2 linked regions of the Neurospora crassa OR74A genome follow. The protein of the gene in region 2 interacts with the protein of the main gene of each other region in a pairwise test. Links are inferred from orthologs where the notes say so. Each region holds a gene or a part of one and is shown on either strand. Other genes may lie near its edges. The genes, in order: mak-1 and cot-2.

The links.
Region 1: the proteins of cot-2 (region 2) and mak-1 interact in a two-hybrid assay, tested with the Saccharomyces cerevisiae proteins (2 studies listed by BioGRID). The link is inferred for Neurospora crassa OR74A from reciprocal best matches to the Saccharomyces cerevisiae genes SMI1 and SLT2.

The regions. Positions count from the first base shown.
Region 1 is NC_026505.1:5,919,582-5,924,144, reverse strand, and holds the start of mak-1 (mitogen-activated protein kinase MKC1), read right to left. Parts: upstream 2,973-4,563; 5' UTR 2,305-2,972; coding exon 2,192-2,304; intron 2,069-2,191; coding exon 1,936-2,068; intron 1,866-1,935; coding exon 1,799-1,865; intron 1,734-1,798; coding exon 1,419-1,733; intron 1,358-1,418; coding exon 744-1,357; 3' UTR 1-743. UniProt on the Saccharomyces cerevisiae protein: Serine/threonine protein kinase involved in a signal transduction pathway that plays a role in yeast cell morphogenesis and cell growth.
Region 2 is NC_026505.1:5,143,948-5,148,214, forward strand, and holds the start of cot-2 (glucan synthesis regulatory protein), read right to left. Parts: upstream 2,985-4,267; 5' UTR 1,923-2,984; coding exon 1,915-1,922; intron 1,836-1,914; coding exon 1,792-1,835; intron 1,722-1,791; coding exon 175-1,721; 3' UTR 1-174. UniProt on the Saccharomyces cerevisiae protein: Protein involved in the regulation of cell wall assembly and 1,3-beta-glucan synthesis, possibly through the transcriptional regulation of cell wall glucan and chitin synthesis.

The sequences.
Region 1 (4,563 bases), about 780 kb from region 2:
TTCGGTTAGGTATCATGGTTTTTTCTTGATATCAAGCCCTGCATGGCGTCGGCGTTCAAACATTCTTTTTTGGCTTTTTGTACTAATCTGGGCTCACAAAAGTATACATACGGTCACATAAAATAAGGGGTTGGGACTAGATACCTCGAGATAGATACCTTAGGAGAATCAGTAAAAGCCATTCCAAATGCCAGGCTTATTGCGTGACCATGGACTCTTCTGGACGACGCCACCACGATCAAGAGCTTTATTGCAGTGTCAACATTCAGCGTATCCAATAGAATTATGACTATAAATGACAACGTAAACATCTCGCTCCAAAGTCCTCGCTGAAGATCGCTTCAACTTTCCACTTAGTCATAGTCCTCCCTCCTGACTAGGAGAATAGAATGAGATACAGAAAGAGTCTCTCCGGTGAGCCACTCACCACCCTCTGGTATCTGGCCAGACATCGAAAAGAACTCCCGGTCTGCCTCTGACGCCTGCTTTTCCAAGTGCCTTCCTAGGGCTGACTGTTGACAGCCCGACCAGAACTGCTGTCCCACTCTGTCATTGAAGACCGCCTCAATGGCGAGCCGTTCCCTTCTCGGGGGGTTTCCAACACGATAATACTATGTCGTCGTCTTTTCTGTTTTTTGCAGCCAAGGCATCAACCCAAGATGTGTTTGAGCATCAGATGCTTGCCGAACCAGCGTTTCGTTCTCATTATCGTATATAGAAAGGTTTCATCCTTCCGTCATTGCTTACATGCCACCAAGCTCGGCCTCCAGGCCACCGTTGTACGCGCCATACTCATGTGGCCTAGGATCTTCAGCAGTCCATTGTTGGCTGTGCACATCAGTAGGCATGGGCACCTGAGCGGGAGCCTGGGGTTGAGCACCGCCCTGTCCTTGACCACCGGGCACGGTGCGCACAAGCTGTCTGAACCTGAAGACTTCATCGAGAATCATCTTGCGCATCTCGCCGACATCATCGACAACCTCAAAGTCGAAGTTGAAGGGGGTAGGGCAGTCGGGCTCGTCGCTGGCATCGTGCCAGATGGCAAGGTAGGGGTGCTTGAGAGCATCCTCAACGCTGATACGGCTGGTAGGGTCGAAGGCGAGCATGCGGTCGAGGAGATCGAGGGCGTCGGGGTTGGCCTGGGGGAAGAGCTGCTGGAAGGACTTCTTGGGCATGGGAGGCAGGTTGCGGACGTATTCCTGAGCTCTAGGAGAGCCGATACGGGAGAGGGTCTCCTCATTCGGTGTGCCGAGGATGTGCAGGATCTGGTTCAGCTGATCGACGTAATCTCTGCCCTTGAAGAATGGGCGGCCACCGAGAAGCTCGGCAAGGATACAGCCAACGGACCATACATCAACTAAGGAATGAGTGTTAGCCTGAAAACGATATCAAGGGGGCAGCTTGAGGAAAAGACATACTGGCTTTGGTATAGTTCTGGAAGGACAACATGATTTCAGGAGCACGATACCATCTCGTGGCAACGTACTCCGTCATGTAACCTGCGTTCTCCTCGGGGTCGACGGAGAAACCACGCGCAAGACCAAAGTCGCAGATCTTGAGCTCGCAGTCGGCATTAACCAGCAGGTTACCGGGCTTGAGATCACGGTGCAGAACGTTTGCCGAGTGGATGTACTTGAGACCGCAAAGAATCTGGTAGATGAAGGACTGGAAGTGGGCGTCTGTAAGTGGCTGACCGGACCTAATGATAGCAGCAAGATCGCACTCCATCAACTCTGCAAAAGAACCCCCAGGTTAGTATGTAGGCCCATCTTCTCGTGAGGCATGAGCCATGACGTACCCTCGTAGAGATAGGTCTCGTTGAACATCTCTGGCCGGGGAATGTCCATATCGTAGAGGCAGGTAATCTAAAGAACCAGAAATCGCCACGGTCAGCTACCATGCATCGATTGTAATATGTGTATGTGAGCAACCTACGTTACGGTGGCCCCTGAAGTGTTGGAGGAGCTTGATCTCGCGCAAGGCGCGCTTGGCTAGGATCTTTTTGCTGAAGACATTGGTGACCTTTTTGATGGCGACTCCCTCGTTCGTCTGGGTGTTTACGGCGGCGCTGTTTAGGAGGAAAGGGAGGTCAGCTTGAATCATGAGAATATGGCATGACACATGTAGATGCGCCGCGGCCCAAAAGCACAAGCGGCTAAGCAGGAACGGGAGCAGGAGCAGGTGGACGTACCAGACAATGCCATAAGCTCCCTGACCGAGCTCCTTGGTGACGGTGTAGCGCTCGTCGACAATAAAGTCCTGATTGAAGACCTTGAAGATCTTGCGACCCACGAGATCAGCCATGGCGAATGTGTCTGTGTGGTGTTTCGGGGACGGTTCGTAGTTGGAGAGAGAGGTGGTTCGGGTGACCTTTAGGCGCAAGTTTGGCAACGGCCTGGAGGTGGTGTCGTGGGGTATGTAAGCTCAAGCGCGATCAATGTCTTGAGAAGTTCGGACGGGGGTATTTGAGAAGTGTCGAGGAAGAGTATACGGGACAAAAGTAAGATGTAGATTGAAAAGGCGGGAGCAAGGCAATAGACAACCGGCTAATGTAGCATTGAAGCCAGGCAGAGATGGAGAGAAAGAAAGAAAGAGGAAAAAAGTGGTGATGATCAAATGAGGTTTGCAGAGGGTAGGGTGGTCCTTGGCACAAGTACACTACTGAAGAGTCGGAAGCCCCTGGGATACTGTAGTCTAGTGCGTGATGGGATATATGTGTGCCACCTACTCGGGCAATTTGCTGACTGGGCCGGAGCTGAGCTTGCGCTTTGGCTTCAACTTGGTGCTATTGATTGCTAGTTTACGGTTGGCGTATTTTAAGAGAAGCAATGGAGACGGGATTCGAGCAGCTTAGGTTGTTTAAACCGACGATGGATATCATTGAAAGTGGAAAACGAGCAGTGACGAGGGGAGAGCTTGAAGAGAAGCTCGTGTTTAGCGAAGTCAAGGACCTGCTTGGCCGTGGACCTCAATGGTGCAGTGGCTACCTAGGTCCCCTGGGCTCGAAGCGGACACTGGAATGGTGAGGAGAGGAAAGAGGGGCGCCGAGGGACCCCGACCATGCGACCGACCACTGCGCTGATCCCGGCACCAGAACGGGACCTGAGCGAGGGGCTGTCTGTGAGGCAACGCGGGGTCCGCTTCCATTCCCAAGAGCCCGCCAATGTCAGCGGGCGCAAAAGTGCAACAAACCAACGTGACTGACGAATGGCGGCTTGTCGGTTCCTGACGAATGATGGCCGTTTTCAGGCTTGTCGCTGGTTGCCTCTTTTCCTGTCCTTCTTTCCACTTTCCCATCCATCATTGCCCAGGGGTACTAAGTACCTACTCATTGCTGAACGTTTAACTCGTCCAAGACTTAGGTAGTTTCCATTGCTTACAATGGCGGCCTCTCTCATCCTTGAATGCAATGAAATCTAGGCCCGTGAGCATCGCATTAACAACTATAAAGCCATAAAAAACCACCCCCCCGTCGAAACAGAACAAGGCCATTACCATAATGCTTGCCGCCTTGAAACAAAACAAAAACACACCGAGAATTCAAACAGAGGGATCGCCTGGCTTGGGGGCGCCTGTTTTGGGCGGCGGTCTCCCCTTGCCCAGTCAACAAATGTTACTGCAAAGTCACTCCACAGCGGAAATCACAAGGGAACGGTACCTGATTCTACCCCACCCGCTGCGTCCCCGCTGTGATTTGCAACCCTCCTCCGGCGGCCATTTTTGGTTTTGGCGCGCGACTACGGCCGCCTCCCCACTGGCCGGCGTCTAAAAGATTCGCAATCATCACTACCATCATCTCGATGAGTTCGAAGGGGGAACGCATTGTTTACGGATCGTTGCTTGCTGCTTAAACGAGGTGGAAAATCATAAAGTTTGATTGTCCATGTACACTATGCCTCGGCAGATCTTGGCTTTAACTGAGGGCGTCAAGGTGACGGTTTGCGGACAACACCGAATTGAAAGACCTGGGAGTGCTTACCTCTGGGCCCGGGCAAGGCAAGCTCCGGGGCTGAGCTTCATCCGTGATCCGGCGGCCGTCCGGACGGCGGGCCCTCTCCGAACCCTCGCCTTGAATTATAATCTCCCAACAGTCTTTTTTTAATGGTGAACTGCCGTCAACCAGCATTGGAGGATTTCCGAAAGGACAGGATCCCAGTTTTCCCCTGACCCAACCGGCCGGCTGATGCCGACAACATGTGGCCGCACTGACTCCCTGGTCGTTCCTGGACTTCCCCAGTGCCGTAGGGCTGATGCAGTTTTAGATGCATAGACTTGGTCGCCAGAATAGGCCGCGATGTCGACGCCTTCACCGAGAGGAGCTTCACAATACCTCGGCATCATCGTAGATAGACCACTCAGAGTAGTAGACCCTTTTGGACGTTGTGCAAGTCCGAAATACGGACACCGAGCTCCCTCCGTTCGTGATGAGGAGGTTATAAGCCGCTGTTGACCCGATCGAAGTGATGTCCATGAACCCAAGACAACTCACTCTCGCAATGACAACACGTAACGGGGCTCGACGGCAGCTACCTCGATGTGATGGGGGAGAGATCCGACCAAAAG
Region 2 (4,267 bases):
GCCAAGAGAGGACAACTGGCTCGAGGAGGCGTCAAGATATCAGATTAGGGAGAAACATTACACCTTGTCTGACTCCGTGCCCTGCGCATGGTGAGGAAGCAGTTTGCTGGGCCAGCTACTCAATGGTGACCCATGAGTTGACGAGTTCGTTGGGTCGCTTCGATTTGTTCCCTTTTAAATCTCGATATCCTTCATGTCCTCGGCGTCTTCGACTGTCGTTTGCTTGCCCTTTGACTCCGTCGCCTTTCCGTTCGCCTCGGTTTCAGGCTTCTTCTCCTTATCCTCGCTTGTCCTTTCCTTGGCGGGAGAATCCTCATTGACCTTGATATCCTCCTTGCTATGCTCTCCGCTTGTCCTTGGGGTGTTCAACTCCATCAAGTTGTCGGCGGCTTTGGCCTCGAGGGAGGCGTTGCTAGCCGTGAGAGAGGTTGTGGGGGGTGCCTCCTCAGCAACGCGCGCCAATGGGCTTGGCTTTCCGTAACCTGGTCGGATGGGACTCGACATGGGTGAAGTGCCAGTGAGACGGTGTAGCGACCGGCCACGAGGCTCGTTGTGCTCTGTTGGGCTTTGGTAGGGAGAGCCGGGAGTGGGGGGAGAGCGCATGCCGGAAGCTGACGCCATGGAAGGCGCCATAGATTTGCGCTTGTTGGCTGTGCGACCATACTTCTGATCCATTCTCCACCTCAGAATCTCGAAATAAGACGGCTCAACACGGGTCGCCTTAAACTCACGCAGCTTGAGCTCGTTGGTGTCCTCATCGACAAACCACCTCCCGCTGCTGAGATCCTCGGCAACCATGGCAAGGAAGTGCGCCCACGAGCGGGCCACGACGTACTTTGTATCGTAGTCGCGACCAAAGAGGATGATTTGACCCCAGTGGCCCTTTGGTCCAGGCGCCAAATCGACAGCCAAGTTGTTGCCGCCCCAGTCACGAACGAGAGGAATCCAGGCAGGGTGCGCATACGCCTTCTGAATCGCGGCCGGGGGGACGGAATCCTGCTTGTTGAGAAGTTCTTGTCGCCAGTTTTGGTTGCGGTTAGGGGCATCTTTTGATGATGAGGCCTGAGCGGCAAATGCCTGAGATTGTCGCTTGACGAGCACGGGATCCAGCATAAACTCTTGGTTCACCGTCTTCCAGTTCTCCCACTCCTGAACCATCTCTTCGCAGTCGAGCAACATGGAGCTGAAAATAATGCCAGTGGGAAGACCACCGCGCTCCTGGCCGTCGTGGATTTGCAAGGATTGCCTGAGATCTTGGGGAAGGGTGCAATCAAGCTGGTATTCGAGTTCGTTCAGATCGTTGACGGTGCAGCCCTCGCCAAGTTGGTCGAACAACTCGGGGTAGTTTTCCTCGGCCCATCTGTCAATTTTCTCCCAGGAGCTAGCGACTGGTGGGGGAGGCGGACCGCCATTTTGGAAGTTCTGCATGGGAATCTCGCCGGTTGGGCTGTGTACATCGAATGCGTCCTGGTGGACGGACTGTCGTTGGCTCACTAGGCCGGGCGAATAGGGGCCACCGTTGGCGGGACTCGGCATGGGAGATATGGCGCGTCCACCGTAGGCCGTGTCGAAGCTCATGGTAGAACCACGGCCATCTCCTTGAAGGTAGGGCGAGTTGATGTCGGCACGCGAGTCGGAGGCGGTAGTAACGCCCGCGAGACCGGAGTTCCGGTTCAATGGGACATGACGTCCAGTTCGGTAAGGAGAGTCGATGCCAGCATCTGTTTCCCAACCATGACATGTAAGCGATCGAACCGAGGACGGGGAAGTAGGGGGGAAGAAAGCACTAACGTCGATCATAACTGGTCATAGCATGCCAGATGTCCTTGAATAAGCTGGTAGAGGATAACAAGAAACTCGGTCAGCCAAGGACTCTCACCGCAAGCGGTGTCGAGGGAGCGGATTGCGACTCACCCAGCCATTTTGGGCAATCAGATAGAATATGTATGCGGTCAGAGGCTCGAAATCGGGAGAAGGAATTGCGCTGGTCTTGCAATCCGTCGTTGGTGACAGGAGAGGACAAAGGACCAGAGTCGAAGATTCAAGGGGGGGTATTCCCTTGATTAGTTCGACGCGCCGTCGGCCGAAGTTGCTCGGCGGGATTGGAACAAGCGTCGAAGGCTCCGGAAACCGCGTCGAAGATGGTGGACCCGGTAATCCGCACTCCAGCAGTGGTTGTGCTTATCGGTGACCGAATAGAGTGTTATCGTCGGTCGCCTTTCTCTCGCCAAGTTCGTCGTCGACCTGTGATTTCGTGGGATGGGTGTTAAAGGGCGGCCGTGGCGTAACGCCGAGTGGAAAAGTGTAAGGGCGGGTAGTTGGATGGATGGCTTTTGCGGTAGGTACCTTTGGCTGCAGGAAGGAACCGGCTAAGCTACTGTAAGGATGTTGCAGCGGCCTCCTTTTTTTTCGGACGGAATCTCGCTGGCTGCAGCAGTAGAGGTGGTACCTGGTACGGGGCTACCCGGCGCGCAGAGGCTTTTTTAGTAGCGAAGTTTTAGTGCAGCTGCAGTGGCAGGGCAGGGGGGGTGTATGATGGAGAAGAATGCCCGGATTCTTTTTGTGAAAGACTTTCCGCTTTCTACAGGTACTCTTAGGTTGTTGCCAGATGAACAAGGGAACCACGACGACACCGACGACAACAACAACAACACCGACCAAATAAACAACAACAAAACAACGGGCAAAGGATAAAAGAGAGTGGTATATGCGGTCTGTGGGTTGTTGGACAACGAAGTGGAAGTGTAAAGTGGGAAAGTAAAGATCCGGTCAGGACGAGCGGTGCACCCGAGCTTTGATAGAATCAAACCTGGAACTAAAAAGCGGCAATGATGTAGTGGGAGGCAGTGGACTGATGCTGGGCGGGCGGTCAAGGTGCTTTCACTAGTGTGCAAGTCAAAAGTCTGGGCGACCGACCCAAGGGAAGTAAAAGTGCAACTGAAGTCACGGTGACGAAGTGACACCTCAGCAACGAAAGAGGGAACAAATCGAAGCAAAAACAAAAAAACCATTGAGAGTGGAGGGCCAATTTCAGACAGGGACGATATATCATTTGTTGGCCATGCACCCCACCCCTTTTTTTTCCGCCCTTTCCATTATTCTCCCCCTCCCCCTTCCAATTGCATTGTCCATTTGTGCTTCCCCATCCCCTCTCGGCATTCCGTCTCGTTGCCCAGGCATTGTCCTGATATTTCTCTAGTGTTGTAGTGAGTGGATAGCCAGATTGTGAAACAGCTGGCTGATTTCTCTTCCTCTTCAGATATTCCTTGATGCTAGCACGGGCAGACTATAATGGCCCGTCCCGGCCATTGTTGAGCTGGACTCTCTGGGGTTTCCACTTTCCTAGTGTATGTAGTCCCGTCTTCACATGGTGGGGTTGGTAGTCTACATAGTACACAGTAGCGGGGGACGGGGGCAGAACTGCGGACTTGTCGGATGCTGATCGGTCACCGTTGGAGCGTACAGATGATCCACCGTTGCTCGGCTGACTGATGATTGCACATGTCTGTCTCCGACCGACACGGCTGCCATGCGTTGTCCGCCCGGCTGACTGTTGCGCGCAAGACGCCGAGCATGCGAGGGCCGTGAGAGCAAACTGCCGCGATTGTCGACGACGATGTCATGTCTTGTCCGGCCGGGCCCTCTTCCGTCAGGTCGACAGGCCTGGACTGCGACTGCGACTGCGACTGCGATGCGACGCCCGGGGCGGGGCGTGTTCCTATCATTCAGGGACTTCAAGGTGCCGGTGAGGTGCAGCATGATGCTGCGCTGAGCGCGTTTCCTCGGTACCTGACTTGCCCATCACTTTGTGCATGACGCTCAGGTACCTGTCTATCGCGCGCAATTTCTCCTACGGCGCACAAATGCCCCTTGCCAAGACTTTCTAAGCTTTGTCCCTTCCCTTGGCCCTTGCTCAAACGCATTTGCCAGGCTTGTTTATGACAAAATTACGGTTACATACCGTCAAATCGGTCCTGCCCCTGTTGATACAGCCTGGGCAAAACATTCACCACTTCTAGTCACCTGGATGAAAATGCATCGATTCTCATCACGGCCAAGAATCCAAGTCTGTTGAGTGTCTCTGAAGTTGAGAGAAGACTTCAGTTAGCTGCTCATCAACTTGTAGAAAAAAGAAACAAGTCTGCCCGTGGTGATGAAAAAGTTGGCCGAGTTCTGGATCATCAAATCTGGGATGGCCTGTGCGCGGTAACCATGGTTTTGTCATGCATGAACCAGGGACAACCACCCACACACAGCACCAACACCA